Linked DNA regions of Drosophila melanogaster. The protein of the gene in region 2 interacts with the protein of the main gene of each other region in a pairwise test. Each region holds a gene or a part of one and is shown on either strand. Other genes may lie near its edges.

Region 1 (8,234 bases), on a different chromosome or scaffold from region 2:
AGCAGAGGTACGATTGAAATACTACATTATTTCAATAGCTAAATGCATTTCCAAACGATTCTACAGGCGCCAATCGCTGAGCGGGATGCAGGCGAAGAGCTGGATCCCAATGCGCCGGTGCTCTACGTAGAGCACTGCCGATCCTGACGAGTCTTTCGTCGTCGAGCGGAGGAGCTGCACTCCGCTCTCCGGGAGCGTGGTCTCCAACAGCTTCAGCTCCAGCTGAATGCACTTGGAGCACCACGGCGAGGAGCCTTCGAGTTAAGTTTGAGCGCCGGCGGAATGGGAAAGCAGGAGCAGGTGGCACTTTGGTCGGGTCTAAAGCGGGGTCCACCACGTGCTCGCAAGTTTCCCACTGTGGAGGAGGTATACGATCGGATTGTAGGGATTCTAGGTGACCAGCAGGAGTCCAAGGAACAGATCAACACGCAGAAGTTATCTAAAATTGATTTACCGGGGTCCGAGGCTCTAGCATCGCCAAAGAAGTCGGAGTCCACAGAGGAAGCACAGGAAAACGAGGTAGGGAAGGCCCAATAAGTCCAGAAAAAATTAACTAAATATTGTTTTTATCAAAAACGAAGGCACCAACTTCAACTTCAACTTCGCGTAAATCCAAAAAGGAACAGAAATCCGAGGAAGAGCCAACTCAAGTCGATTCAAAGGAAGCGAAGCAATCCAAAGAGTTGGTCAAAACGAAGAGACAACCGAAAGCCCAAAAGAAGCAGGCAAAGGCATCCGAATCCCAAGAAGAAGTTGCCGAAGATAAGCCCCCTAGCAGCCAGAAACGGAAGCGGACCACCAGATCCTCCACAGACGAGGCTACTGCCGGTGCCAAGCGGAGGAGGTAGTTGTGCCCAAAACAAAGCGTTCAGCAATAGAGCCCTATGATCGATGATTGGCAAATCCTCTCGAGGAACCGATCGTTGAGAACCCCTTTGCCTTTGTTGATCGCTCAATTTTGGATCAAAAACTACATACATGAAAAATACTCGAGCATTGTTATTACAAAATATATTAAAACATCTTAGAAACCTATTTCCATTTTTGTTTTTTTTTTTCATTCTCTTGTGGTTCATTTTTGTCTGATTTTTTGCCTCTCATTCGTTAAAATTTTGTGGACTTTGATTTTTCTTCCAAAATGTACATGTTTTCCTTTTTTGATCTTATTTCAATTTTGTCCCTTCTTAGTTAGTTAAAATTTGTTTTCGTTTTTAGCTCAGCTTAATAATTATGATCCTAGAGAAAAAATTTTGGTTTTACGAAATTGTTTTTACTTTTAGCTTCTTCTAATGCTAGAGATACCCTACCACTTGCCTAAATAGATTACAATCTGAATTGTCTCTTTTTTAACTAAAATTTTGGTTAAATAAAAAAAATTGAATATAATATGTGGGGAGGGGTGGGGAGCTAGGTGAAATAGTATTAAGAACATGCAGCAACAGAAACCGAGAGATTGCGATTAGGTGGAGAGCCAGTCCAAAAGGTGGACTTGCCTTAAGTAGAGTCGCAAATACAATGCATGCAAGTATGTATATATATATATATGTATATAATGTCTGTACACCCATATATATAATGTACAATATAATGCAATGGTCTGGCGAACTGCTCTAAGCAAAACTTCGGAAACCAGATGTGAAATATAGTCGTGTATTGCAAAACTATACATAGTTCAAATTGTGCTGTTTCACTTATGGCATAGATGATGCCCGAAAATAATTGATTACGAATTGCCTAACGATGACGAAAAAGGTTCTTTTTAAATTCATTGTCTAACTTATACAACGTTAATAATTGATGGCCTAAAGGGTTTCCTACATTACAAAATTGCTCGAAGAATATTTGCTACATCCATAAGTTTCCGCTCAAGTTATCCTATAGTAGAAGTTCACCAGTCCATTGCTAGTTTAAAAAACAACAATCAATTGGCTATGGGAACGTAAAGTTAAGAGAGGCGAAACATTGGAATTGTATTGGCTACGGCCTGGTGCGCGGTTCTGATCGTTATCCTGATTCTAATCCTGTTTCTGTCCCTGGTCCACAATGTATTTGTTTCCTTTCTTTCATTTCTTGCTTGGCTTTTATCCTTTTGTCGGAGGGGGGCAACAAACAGTGATCAACTAAGGCTTAAAAACTATATTTAAATTATGTGCGAAAAAGTAGGTCGATTCAATAGGCGAGAAAACATTGCGAAAAACAAGGCTTTGATTGATTACACGTCCAGTTAGTTGCTGATAGAGCGGTTACAGATACTTCCGATAGTTGCGCAGATGGGCGTTCGCGTCCTCGACCACGCCCACCGCAGCAGCGGCACTCTCGAAGGATGGTGGCTCGATGACCATGCCGGGACTTGTCGGATCGCAAGACGCTCCAACGGCGCTATTTGGCCCCTTGGCTCGTCGCCTGCCACGTGTTCCCGCTCCCCGCGATCTGCGGCTGTTGGCCGAAGCTCCCGATGCTCCTCCTCCGCCGCCGGATCCCGAAACTCCCGCTAAGCCTGCTCCCAGGCTGCCGCTTAGGATGCCTCCGCTGGAGATTGGTCCTCCATTGCTGCCTGGCACACTCTCGCCAGATTCAATGGCCTCCAGCGATGCGTCCAGCGCCGCATCCGTCGTTGTGATACGCGACCTGGCCGCTGCACTGCGTCTCCGCGAGCTGGAGCTACCGCCGGAATTGCCGCCACCGCCGGCGCCTCCTCCACCACCACCGCCGCCGGAATCTCCACCTCGCTTGCCTGGTCGCCGCTTGCGCCTTTTTTTGTTACCATAGCGCGGATCATAATCGTACTCATCATCCGCCGGCGATTTGGGCTCCTCCAGCGAGTCCACATCGTTCATATCCATGTCATCGTAGAACCACTCCTTGGGCAAAAGCTCCTCTTTGACGGCCTGCTGCTGGTGCTGGTGCTGCTGATGTTGTTGCTGTTGACTGTCCTTGCTGTCGGATGTATCACCGCCGGCGGCACCCAGCGAGCTGGACTCCTCCAGGCTGAAGGCTCCATTAAAATCGTGGGCAGTGTCACTGTGCAGGGAACCAAGTACGGCCGGCGCGGCTCCGCCGCCCGTAAGCATATTGAGCGTTAGGGAGGAGCTGCTGGCCAGGCTATTGCTGCCGGGCATGGAGCCCACACCGCTGGTCAGGCTGCTCAGTCCCAGATTGACGCCGCTGGCCACCAGAGCTTCGTGCTCCTTGCGTAGCGCCTGGAAGGGACGCTCGGGAAAGCGGCTGTATAAGTGGAAAGTTCGTTATTAGCAGGGATAAATATGGAGCTCACCCAACGAAAAATGTAGGATTTGATGAGATTGAATGGCATATACACAGATGATATTCTTCTAACCTAACTCGTTTTAAATAAGATTACCATAGGTAACAGACTCCTAGATTTCCAAGCTCTAATTTGCTTCGCCAGAGTTATACCTAACTTTTCCTTGTGCATGTGCCAGTCACTCAAATCCCGCACCGATTGGTTACGATTCCTCACCTGTACATCTTGCTCAAGTACTGACGACGGCTCTTCCGCCAGCGGGCCGCCGGATACGTGTAGATCTGGCCCTGCCGGAAGCCGGGCATCCGCTGTCGCTTGTCCAGGAAGAGCTGCGAGTGGTTCTGGGCGACGCCTGTCTGCGGATCGAGGAAGGGCAGCCGGTGGCGCCGTTCGCTGCACAGGCGCGTGTTGAAGTTGGCACTGTACTCGATCGTCTCCCGGTAGCTGACATCCTTCAGGAAGCTCTCGATCTTGGCCAGATTCGGCATAGAGACGATCTGGATGTTAACGGCGGAGGACATGGCTGTTCCTGGTCCTAATCCCACTGTTGGCTAACCTCAGAGTCCGGCTGTGCCGCTAATCCATCCCAGAGTCTTGGCAATTTCCGCTCCGCTCCGCCCCGTTTCTTATCGCAATTTTTTTCCAGTGTGTTGTGTTCCGTTTCTTATCGCTTTTCGCTGCCTGTTTTTTTTATTCTTCTTCGTCTTCCACCTCTCCTCTCGACCGACACATACACGCACGCACACACACACACACGCAAAGCTCTCTATCGATGTGACCCCGCGCCAGGGGGCGTGGGCGGCAGTGGGCGTGGCGAGGGCGATACGTTTAGATCGCGATCTGCGGCCGGATTTTCCAATTGTTTAATTGATCAGAAATATTAACGTCGTTTTCACTGCTCTGCTGAATGCCAGTGTTACCAGATGGCGACATGATTTTCCCCCCAAATGTTCTCGACCGACCGGTATTTTTGTCCTAAAAAATCCACTCTTTCGCTTTAATTTTAGCGATCAGTTTTCTTACCAATTTAAGGGCCTGTATAGGTCTGTTAGTTAATTTATGCATTGCAGTGCATAGCTATGTAATGGTATTTTCTAGTTTTAATTACAAGCCTATGTTACAGGGTTTTTGGTTAGTTTTCAAACATCGATAAGTTGTAAGCCAATCGATTGCCGGGCCCACGGTCATACAATAGAGATGGGCAACTGGCGATAATGCCTACCTACCTGTTACGCCAATTTCAAAATAGTAGTTTGTTATCTGGATCGGCACAGGCGACAAAAAAAACTAATATGTTTATATATACGTTATATATGGCTTTGGAAATAAATTACACAATCATATTGGTCAATCATTGTTTCAGCGCACGATGAGGAACTAAAATCTTCAAATTTAAAAGTACAAATTAAGATAAGTCATAGACTGCACAAATAAATAATTAGCAATTAATAAAATAGCTAAAAGAATATTGCACAGGGCAGCAGAGTGTTAACGATTTTCTTATCGATTCTCCTGTCAGCTGGCAACGCCAAAACAAAACAAAAACAAAATTAAAAGAGAAATCAAAACAAGGCAACCCGGTCATTGAAATTTCAGAAAATACTGCTTTGTTTGCGTTAACGGGAATGCTTTTTGCCCCGTAGATATGTATATATCACATAGAGGCACGGCTCACAGAGAACACCCACCAATCCAAACCATTTACATTTACCACTTAGATTAGCTGGTCTCGCAAACAACGGATAAGACTGTATATCAGCTGTACGTACGTACGGCTATTTGGTGATAAAACCGGCGCTATAGTTCCACTGCCACAAAGTAACAAAGAGAAGACTGAGCCGAACAACCTGCCATTTTGATACCGACGCCCCACCGAGATTAAAGCCCACTTTTCCGGATCCCATTCGCAGTTGTCCCACAACCTCAAGGCACTACAAATCGCAACAATAGCCAAATAAGTATAGGATTCCGACGATGTGCGTGATATTCTTTTGTGCGGACTCGAATCCGCAACCGGGTGGCTACAAGCTCATCCTGGCCTCCAATCGGGACGAGTTCTTTGCCCGCGCCACCCTATCGGCAGCCAAGTGGGCGAATGCCGATCATGTTTACGGAGGTAAGTGGTGGGGCTTATGCCCTTGAATGCCTATGCTTAGATGGAGTATAATCCTTGAGAGCTTGTATTCATCAAGATGTTACCTATAGTTTAGTCACTAAGATGATTTGATAGCAGTTTGTTAGAATGAACACCTCTCACAAGATCTGTTTCCCAGCAACCTAATTGGATTTCAAGCCATCTTACCCATGAGTGCGGGATCAACTTGAGTAAATATTTATGTATTCCCCCATTTCAGGGATCGATCTGGAGCCGGGACGCGAGGGCGGCACCTGGCTGGCGATCGGCCACTCCGCTGGCTTCTTTAAGGTGGGCGCCCTGCTCAATCTGACCGGCGAGCCCAAGCCACGCGATGCAGTTGGTAAACCCATTTGAGCTACTTACTAATCCAAATTGACGCGCACACACACGCACACACACTCATCCATACACCTAACACTTGGCCCGAACTAAAACTTTCACAACCGCGACCAAAGAAAAAGCAAAGCAAAAACAAACTTTCTTCGTTTCTGTTTTCTGTTTGAAGCGCACAAAAACATTTTGCAACCGCATAATCACAACAGCAACAGCACCGGCATTAACCTTTGCCCCAAGACCACCACCTCCAACAGCTACCGTCATCCGAATCCGAATCCAATTCAGAACCCGAATACGAATCCGAGTAGGGGGCAATCGAATAACGAACATTTCTTACTAGGGCGCGGCATGATTGTGGCGGACTATGTTACCCGGGCGGACGAGGAGCACAGCATCCTGAACTACAACGAAAGGCTGCTCAAAGATTGCACCAAGTATTCTGCCTTCAACTTTGTGTCCATCGAAATTGGGTGAGTCTGCGCCCATTCAGGTTAACCTGAATTATTATATATTCTAATTATATGCATATTAGTATGTACATATATTGCTTTATGCTGTCTTTATCTCCGAATTATACGTATAAATTCTGAATAATATGCAATAACATTAGGGAACCATTAGCGAAACATTGATACCATCTACTGCACGCCTTCGTTCTCAACAGATCTGCATCCCAGCCCGCTCGCGTGAAGCTGCTGAGCAATGTGCCGCCCACGCTGGAGGATTTCCAGAACGGCGAGTGCTACGGATTTGGCAACAGTCTGCCGCACTCTCCGTTCGAGAAGGTGCGTCATGGCAAACAGGAGTTCGAGGCGATCGTTAAGGCTCATGGGGAAGCCAGCGTGGAGACTCTGTCCGCCCAGCTGATGCAGTTGCTCCGCAACAAGCACAAATTCTGGCCGGACGACGAGCTAAAGACACGTGCGCCCAACTGGGGCGAGGGATTGAGTTCCCTAAACGTCCATATCGAAGAGCATGCCTATGGCAGCCGTACACACTCCGTTGTCCTGGTGGACAGCGAGAATAAGATGCACTTCATTGAGGAGACAATGACTGGATTGGATCCGCACGGCGAATGGAACAAGACCCACATTGAAAAGGATTTTCAAAACGGCGTTTGACCACGGACAGGATGACGCAACTTCTTGACGCAACTATCTCGTTCGAAGACTTTCCTCTTTTGTAGAATAACCTAATTGGCTAATATTCTACCAATCTGTATTTTGACTCTGGCATTTGCGATAATAAATAGTCATATTTACTATATCTTTAAAGAACATAAAGCTTGTGTGGATTTAATCTAACGTTACTGCTCTTCTTTCTGCCACGCATCGAACTATGTTGCTTTCAAAATTCTTTATTCAAAGTCTTTGCAGATCAAAACAAAAAAAAAAAAAAATACATAACTATTCTGTTTCTGTTTTTCTTTATCTGTGGCATTTACAACGTCTCCACATGTTCATATATATATATTAAGTTATATTTATATATTTAAGCAAAGTAACAGGGGAAATAATCATCAACGTCTTAGCTTCCTTATCAACAGACCGCACTATCCCAGTGTTATTATACATCTCTATATCTCTATAGCTTTACGAGCCTGTTAGCCAGTTGGCTTGAATCGTCTGCCCTATTTGTATTTCTTGGACACCCGGCCACCGCCGGCTCCTCCATTTTCAGCGCCAGCTCCTCGCAATACGCTCTTGAATTTTCGCGAATTCATTGAACGTTTTCTGGGGGCGAAAGAGATGGAGTATTAGATAGGGACGGGTATATTAATAATATTAAACATTTTGGATACACACCTCTTGTTCAGGTTATTCCTAGTGAGTGGTATATACGCATATGGATCCAGTTTTCCGCTCTTCTTCATATCACCCTTGGCCTTCTTGCTGCCGTACTCACTGCCCGCTGGGCGGCTGGTGGATTTGCCTGACTTCACGGACATGGCATCCGAGTTTCCAGCTGTCAGCTGTCGATGAATGCCCTTGCCACCGGCAGTGTAGCGACTACTGGCAGTGGTTTTGCCCGATTTCATGCTCATCGCATCATCACCCTTGCGTACACGCTTGGGTACTAGCTTCTGCTGCAGTTTATCTTCGTCGCTCGAATCGTCTTCCATGCCACGCTTAACCTTGGGCTGCTTGGCTACAGTGCCATACGCCATGGATGCATCGGAATCCGAGTCGTCATCGGACTGATCGTTACCGCCCTGGCCACGAAGTGCCTTGTCGCTGATGATCAGGCGTCCATCGTCGGCAGTCTTGAAGCCACCGTTCGGCAGCTGAGCTTTCGTCTTTTGACTCTGGGCAGGGGTGGCCGTTTGAGCGGAGCCACTGGCTGGAGTGGGGCAAAGGCAAAGAAACAAAAAAAGTGATGATTTGTGCGATTTTCAAACGACTTCAACTTACTCAGCACATTGCCAATGGACTTGAGATCGGCCAAATCGACTATCTCATCGGGATCCTCGCGAATGTAAGTGCTCTTCTGTTGCTT
Region 2 (8,234 bases):
TGATGTTTTTTTTTTTTTTGTGTGGAACTCTCGTGTGCCTGACCCACTTTGAACAAATTATTTTCAATTGCTATGCTAACTCAAATTCTCGACTTTCTCTTTATGACCAAGCAATTCAGATCAAAGGTCAACCAAACTCATTTTGAGTCTATAGAAATCTAATAGTTGTTAATGCAAGTACAAGTTCATGACTGATAAGATTGCCTCTGAAAATCGTATCTCTGCTGATTTGATAAAGCAGGAAATGACTGCCTAAGTTCAACTACATAAACAAGCGCAATCATTGAATGTCATTAACAATTCCGACGACCAAAACAAAGCCGATCCAAACTGAATTCATTAAGGCTGAAAATGCATGGAAAATTGAGTGCGGTAACCGCTCTTCGAAAGTAGCAACTGTGTTGTGCGCCATCGACTATAATGATAATGATGATGATGATAATTGGTGATGATACTGATGGTTAAGGAAACCCGGGGGATTGCACTCGACCAAAAGGTTACAAAACCTCCAGTTAATTGAGAAAATAAACCTTCTGAAAGAGACAGTTTGTTTATGAAAGTGCAATCCCAGCTGCTTTTTAAGTATTTATTATTGTTTCCTACAATTGTTTTTGTTATTTTTGCTATAAAAATGGTAAATATAAATATAGCACTTGCGATCAGAAGCGCTTATGACCAGCGATGATTATGGGTAGCGTGGCCGAGCGGTCTAAGGCGCTGGTTTAAGGCACCAGTCTCCTCGGAGGCGTGGGTTCGAATCCCACCGCTGCCACTTGAGATTTTTTTTTTTTTGATCAGAGAAAGTTGTAATTGTTTTGGAAGCGCAAACAAAATAAAAAGTAAACTCAATAATAAATAAATGAGAGCAAACTTATTCATCAAATATGAAGAGTGCTATGTAGTATTAAATGCAGTTTTTATCGGGACTGGTTATGAACTTTGTATTGTATGCACATAAATAATCTTGCGATATAAGCACAAGTTCGTATTCGCAATAAAAGATAAGCATAAAGAATATCATATACACTTTTGGGAGACACCTTTACGGTATATTTTTACATATATAGAGTAGACGTTGACTCACTTTTCGGACACGATTTTCTGATTCATAGACGCCTGGATCGAGTTCTCTAATTCGCGATACCCGTACTCTCACCTTGCTTACGTAACTGAGACCAGAGATAGCCGACTTCATTAGTCATTTATAATTTTTTATCAAATTCACCTGCACATAAAGTTTCCCTTGCTAATCTAATTATCAAATGGGGCAAGGCTACTAATTTATTTTTAAATTGCTACAAAGCTTTTCTCACTAATTTCTATCGTAAAAAAAGGCCCCTTTGTTTTTTTAATAAAGCAATTATCATCTAATCGATAAGTGACGCTTTGATGTGGATTGGTATGAGATTAGAAAGTTTGGGGCTCGAAAAACAAATCCGTAGCACGCAAATGACCATATTTTTAAGTTAACTGACGCGTGTGGAATTGTTTACAAAAAACATCTGTTAGGACACACGTTTTTGGTTAAATAGACTTTGCGACATCGACGCGGTGCCTATTCTTTGTCTATTGTTTGGCGTCATCAACTTGAAAACATCTCTTTAGATAAGAAATTTTGCACGCGCAAAATAAAAAAAAAAGAAGAACGCCAAATGCTCATTGATAAATCATTGGCAAATCGAAGGCAAAAAAACAACAAAGTCGACTTGTCGAAAGAGGAAGTCGAGCATAAAAACATTGAGAAAGAAGGCAAAAATAGGCGGAGCAAAATATTTCGCGTTTTTTTGTATAATGTAGCATGCGGTTTTTCGTAGAATTCTTAACCGGTTTCGGTACAGTTTTGTATTTGGTTTATAGAGCCGCACTAAAGATTGTTTATAGACAAAGTGAATATCTCCTACACATTTTCCCATACCTATACATATGTACTTTCGGACATTATCGACGAATCCAATCTAGTCACATGCCGTCTGTCTTCTGGGTTCGAAATCAAATTGTTGTTAATGACTTTGCGCCGCGTGTGGCGTCTCTCCCACTAAGTTTTGCATTTAAAAATAGGAATTATTGTAGGTCTACACCGGGATTTTCCTTTGTCTATGTAGGGGGTATTCTCACAATGGACGTACCATTCGATTGATCGCCCTGGATAAAGGTGTTTTTAACTTGAATAACCATTTTATACTTATATACTCATATACATAAATATATTCTCCTATTGATCACGGTTTGGAAACATTGTGTTTTTCACTATACTCATCCGATTTGAGTTTTTATTTTTACAGACTCGTATTATTTCCTGCCCATTTAAGGCTATTAGGCGAGTGTGCGACTATTTTGCGCAGTTGAATGAGCAGCATATGAATCTTGATTTATGCAAAAACTGCGACTTGCGCTTCAAGACACTTTTCAATTGTCTGGCTTACACAATAATATATAAAATACTCGAAATAGAAACAAAGGCGTGTTTGTTTTTTGTTGTTGCTGCTTTGGCTTGCGTGTGCGCTTTGGTATTTCCATTTATTAAATTTGTATGCATACCTCCTCCTCTCTCCCAAAAATGCGAAGAGATGAGCAAAGAAGAAGGGGCGAAAGATAAAGAGCAATAACCAAGTTGCACTTGAATCTCATTTAGGTACCGAGTTCAAATCCGTTGCGGGTAAAAAGAAAAAAAAAACCAGTTTACTTGGAAGTGCGTGGGATTATTTGACACCCTTTGTGATCCCTTTTTTCCTGCACTTTGTATTGTTTTCGGTTTTACAATGCATATTGAATAGTTCGTCGGAAAAGGAAACTTGCAATTTGCTTAAATGGCTCGTAAATTGATTTTCTGTGTTGGTTTTTGCTGTTGTATCGTTTTTGAAAACCAACAAAGCGTAAAAAAGGTTCACGCAATAAATGAGTAACGAAATGCAATGCAAAAACGCCTGTTTCCTATTTCCAAAATACAGTGCTCTATGTTTTTTGCTTGTAAGTTGTAAACATATTTTTGTATGAAAATCTAGGTGCACATTTATCACTTTGGTACAGTGGATACCCTCGGTCTTCACAATTCACCGAATCGGGTATGCACTGTACCAACAAAAACTGCACTGCAAAGAAGAGCAGGTGATAGAGAGAACTAGCAAGCAAACCAAAAACAAAGCAGCCTGAATATTGTTATTGTCATTAAAATACCGTTCCATTCAGTGCCAGGTACGAAAGAGAGAGGCATACAATGAGAGAGAGAGGGGGAGAAAATAGGAAGGACAGCAGGCAAATTGCCGAAGGAAAATCACCTGAATTTGGGGATCCAGCTCGCCGTCTTCTGCACTCGACATTTTTACTGGTTTTCACTGAATTCGTTCCAAATGCAAATATATCGCTAAACGCGTTAATTTTCACTTTTCTGCAGCCCGCTTTTCAATTGAAAAACGCTTTTGCATTTCACTATTTGATCTCGTTGCTACACAGACACATCCCACGACTATCAATTTGCTTGTGTGTTTTGTTTTTCTTTTTTTTTTCTGTGTTTTTTTCTATAATATTATGTAAATTGGTGTTGGCAATTTTAACTGGCAATTTGCTATGCGGGTACAGCAGCAGTATTAAAACAAATATTTCATTTTGCGTCTTATGTTTCACAACGAAGTTAAAAGCGAAAAGGGAAAGGGACACATGGCGATTACATTAAGTGTGAACAAGACGAACGGTACAAGTGGACAGGGCACGCGGCTTTTCACCTTCTCCTTCGCTCGGGGCATCTAAGATATTTAATTAACTCGCTTATAAAGGCTAAACTATCCTAAAAATTAAAGACGCGTCCAGACGCGACGAAATGAGAAGCTGAATTCGGTGTGACCGCAGCGCGGTGTTACCAGATAGTGAAATGCTGACCAGCAGTTGCTGAAATAAACATTTGGTATTTTTATTGTATTGGTATATTTCATTACAACGCTGGCATTGTTGCCAACTATTTTCAAGAAAAATAAACAATTAAAAAAATGTTTGATTTTCATTGCACCAGTTTGATAATGTAACAATTTATATTTAAAAAAATGCTAAGTTAACATATTAGTCTTCAAAATTACTCTTGGCGGGCTTGGTATTTTCTCTTACCATTACGTCATATGCCTCATCTACATAACCATCACATCACGTTACGTAGTTGATTCACTTCGTAACGTTATGAATAATTAAAAAAATTTTGTTTCAAAAAGGATTTTTGTTAAAGTTGCTAAATACGTATTAATGAAATATAAATAAATAGGTCTGACTAAGTAACAAAATATGCATTAAAACCAGAAACATTTTACTATGAAAGTTTACTTTATTTGTTATTTGTTTTCATCATTTTTGTTTTGCCCTTTATGTGCTTTACATGTTTGTGATTTTTTCGTATTTAATTTGTTTACTTTTCCTTATATGCGTTTATAAATCGAATACTCCAATTTCCTCTAATGATATGCGCACCAAACATATTTTTAACTGAGCGCAATTAACAGAAAACCGAAAATACTCTCAAAAAACAAAATTTTCACTAAAAGATTTTTATTTATGTAAATTATAAAGAAGAAGGCAATTCAGTTGTATACCACGGAATTTCATACGTTATTCAGCATCAATGCCCGATTAAACATAATTTATAAAGATGGATTCGTTTCCTTCTTTTATTTTTGATTTCTTAATTTAACGCTAATATAAGATTTATATTTTATATAATGCATCTTTTTACTTTGTATGGAATAACACTTAATTATACATTCATTTCATATAGTTTGATTTTAGTTGTAATCATAACAAAAAGAAACATTTCTGTGCAGCGTGATTTGAAAAAAATGAACAAAGAACTAAGGTACAAAATTCTAGAATAATACAATTTGAAATTGTCTGAATGGGATCTTTAAATAGTAGTTCTTGCCTGACTTTCATTGTGTTTGTTTAAGAGTGTGCCGTGTGGTTTATTTGTTGATTCCTCCTCTGTCGTATAGTATCAAACCACTAAATACTTGTCCATATAAATGATTTCGTTTAAATATTTATTTATATATCGAATTATATATATTTTATGCTATATAATAACTATGCAAGTTCTGCATATATGCATGTTGCGCTTCATTTACCATTCTTTTACTTGGTTATTTTCATTTTGTATTGTTAACACTCATAGTTTCGGGAATGGGAGGAGAGTTTAGGAAAAGTACAAAAGTATACATGGTTTGTCCAAAGCTTTTCAGTTGTAGTTGCTTTTTACTACACAGTGTGCATATCGAAATGATACAGAATACGATCCAATATAAATGCTTCTCCACACGCAATTGGAATAAGAAATACAAAAACAAATTGAACTTAACTAAGTTGAAGTACATAAAACATTACAAGATACACCACAACTTCTAAATTCAGCTACACTACGATTTGTTGTTTGATTGGAGATTTATTCACTGTCTATGTTTAGGCCCACTCGCTTCTCCTCCTCCAGCATGGCGTCCAGCTCGTCCGTGAGATTGGCCAGCATATTGCCAATGTCGTTCAGAACGTTCACCGAAACTTTGGGCGGAACGCCGTTGTTTATGGCCACAGTTGGTACGGCTGCTTCTGGCGAACTTGCAGGCTCCGCCGTTGATCCACCGGCATTTGACATATCCAATGTGGGTGAACGCAGGTGCAAGGCACTTCCACCGCTGGCTGTGCTGCCCATGCTTTCACTCCGCGCCAATGTGGCATCGTGCAGCGAACTGGAAGATTTCAACGAATGGAACGAGTGCGCTATATTCGCGATGGTGTTCGTGGAGGAGGAGCTGGAGCTCGAGCTGGAGGAGTGCAGGTGTGCGGGATGGCCGCCGCCGGGTACATTGTTGTTGCCCGCTCCGCCGCCCTGCAGCTCCTGGCGGTTGAGCAGCCGCTGTTTTATCGTCCCAGTGTTCTCGTTGGCAAATGGTATCGTGTCAATCGAATCGATGCTGGAAGTCGACTTACTGTCGTGATACTTCTCACAGTGTATCTCCGCCGTTGTCTGTTGTATGGTGGCATAGTTGGCGTAGATCGGCTGCTGACCAGTACCTGCACCCGCCTGCTGCTGCTGCTGCTGCCAGTGCTGCGCCGTGTGGCCGTAGAACATGTGCTGGCCCTGCTGCTGTTGGGCTGCCTGCTGATGCGCCTGCGCAGCCGCTCCCGACGGCACTCCCTCTCCGCTCAGCGTGCGGGAGTTGCGTATGCTGCAGTGGCGTCTAGGTGGCTCAGGAGCTATTTTCTTGCCCGTCAAAGGACTGCCGCCCATGTAATTCTGTAATAGAAGATAGCTCTTAGTAAGAACAGTTTAAAATCCACAGTTGCCACTTTGGTGTCCCTTCTATTATAACCAACTATGGCAACCACAGATAAGTGTTCTAAGGATTCGTGGAACCCCAACTTACCGCTCCACCCTCCACACCGCTGGCCGCACCGTACTCCGCCGCAGCCGCTGCATTCATGTAGTGATGGTGCTCCAGTGGCGGCATGGTGTTCAACACCGCCCGCTGCAGGATGCCACGCTGCTGGCGTGGCAGAGTTCCGCCGCCCTCCTGCTCGTAGAGCAGCTCCCTCGTGGCATCGTTGGTGGGTGTGATGTCGCCGTCGTCGTAGGATCGCCGCCATCCAATGCCAGGCGCATTGTTGCCCAGGAGACGGGCGGCAGCTGCCTGCTGCTGTTGCTGGTGGAGCAGCTGCTGGTGATGATGCTGCTGCTGCAGTGTGGCCGCTGCGGCCATTGCCGCTGCAGCCGCCGCTGTTGTCGGCGGCCCAAAGTGGCCGTAGTCCGTGGTTGTGTAATGGCTGAAGGTCAGATGGCTGCGCGTGCTGTTGTCGTGGATGTCCTCCAAAGATTCCAGGCTCTTGCCGCGCGGCTGGCGAACCTGCAGAAAAGGATAAGAGGCTCGTTAGGAGGTGCAACTTTTTGAAATTAATGAGGCCAGTTTTCTTCTAAGTTAATTGGAAATCAACGAGAAAAAAATTCTCAACAACAGAAATAATAATATGAAAATAAAAATATTTTTTGCAAAGCAATATTAATGAAGGGTATTAAACTTAATTTGATATTTGTTAAGTAACGATGTTCGCGATGCAAAAGCTAGTTCGTGGCTAAAATGTCAGAGGGCACTTAAAAAGTTCAAGGCCAACGGGCTGCTACGCTTTTTAACTGTGGAAAACCAAGTGCCCACCTTAATGAGCACCACATCGTTGCCCGAGCAGCACTCATGGTTACTGCCCGTGCAGTAGTAGGCATCTCCGTTGGCAAGGCTGCTATTGAGGCAGCTGCTCCCGGATGGGGCAGTGGAATTCAAGACACTGCTGGTCGCGTAGATTTTCGTGTCGTCCCACGAGACGCGGGTGGTTGGCACATAGGATGGCGTACTGGGTATGGGCACATTGAATTGCCAGGGCTTCCGCTGGTACTCCTGTTTGGTCAACATTCCGACGAGGGGAAATCATACAAAACAAATGAACAAAATAGAAACGAAACGAAAGTTAGTGGTAAATTAAAATCAAATTAAATTAAGACTAAAGAAAAAATACAACAAATGCTTTAGATTGAAGTTTGCAGTAATGTAAAATTTAAAAAACCCTTGTTGTTTCTTCCTAAATCCCTTGTATTTTCACCCACTTCTCACCTGCTGTTGGTAGGCATTGGCGCCGCCTGGGTTCCACTTTCCGCTAATTATGTCCTTCACACGCTTGATGGCCAGCAGAATTTTCTTTTGGTGGCCCAGCTTGACAATGCCAATGTCCTCGAGATCCTCCCAAGTCACTTGGGTTACGTCGCGCACCGTCTTATAGTTCTGCTCCAGCAGGGGCTGTATATACTCCTCCAGACGCAGCAGCTGCAGCCATTCCTCTATGGATCCCTGGAAATGCGAGGGGAGATTCGAATTGAGACGTCATTATCGTTATGTTTTATTGAAGCCAGCTAATCGCATTTGATTAATGTCAGAGTAGGGAACAACACAGATCGCCTCACAGACTACAAATTGTCCATGAACTAGTTCAGACCTCGCTGATAAAGGGGGGAATCAAAACGAATCGAATCGAATCGAATCGAATGGAATGGAATGGGTTACATATATATGGGCTGGTGTCTCTCATGATGAGCCTACCCACCCGTCGCTCTAATCAGTTGTAATTGATAAGATATGACATAAATCGCGTCAAAGCACGGGCATAAAGAAACGAATAAAAGCCAAAACTCGTTGCTGTCGTCATTAAACGGTAGCAGGCTAGCC

What was found.
Region 1: the proteins of pcs (region 2) and tth interact in a two-hybrid assay, tested with the Drosophila melanogaster proteins (one large-scale study listed by BioGRID).

Annotation. Positions count from the first base shown.
Region 1 is NC_004354.4:13,612,195-13,620,428, forward strand, and holds tth (toothrin), read right to left. Parts: upstream 4,393-8,234; 5' UTR 3,787-4,392; coding exon 3,482-3,786; intron 3,226-3,481; coding exon 2,244-3,225; 3' UTR 999-2,243; downstream 1-998. Other genes in the region: Tango2 (transport and golgi organization 2), read left to right, coding at 5,240-5,381, 5,620-5,742, 5,908-6,208, 6,403-6,859; CG2691 (uncharacterized protein), read right to left, coding at 7,369-7,471, 7,544-8,078, 8,150-8,234.
Region 2 is NT_033778.4:14,976,865-14,985,098, reverse strand, and holds the start of pcs (parcas), read right to left. Parts: upstream 3,837-8,234; 5' UTR 3,318-3,836; coding exon 3,276-3,317; intron 773-3,275; exon of another isoform or gene 691-772; intron 1-690. Other genes in the region: ckn (caskin), read right to left, coding at 5,414-6,262, 6,393-6,869, 7,176-7,412, 7,626-7,859.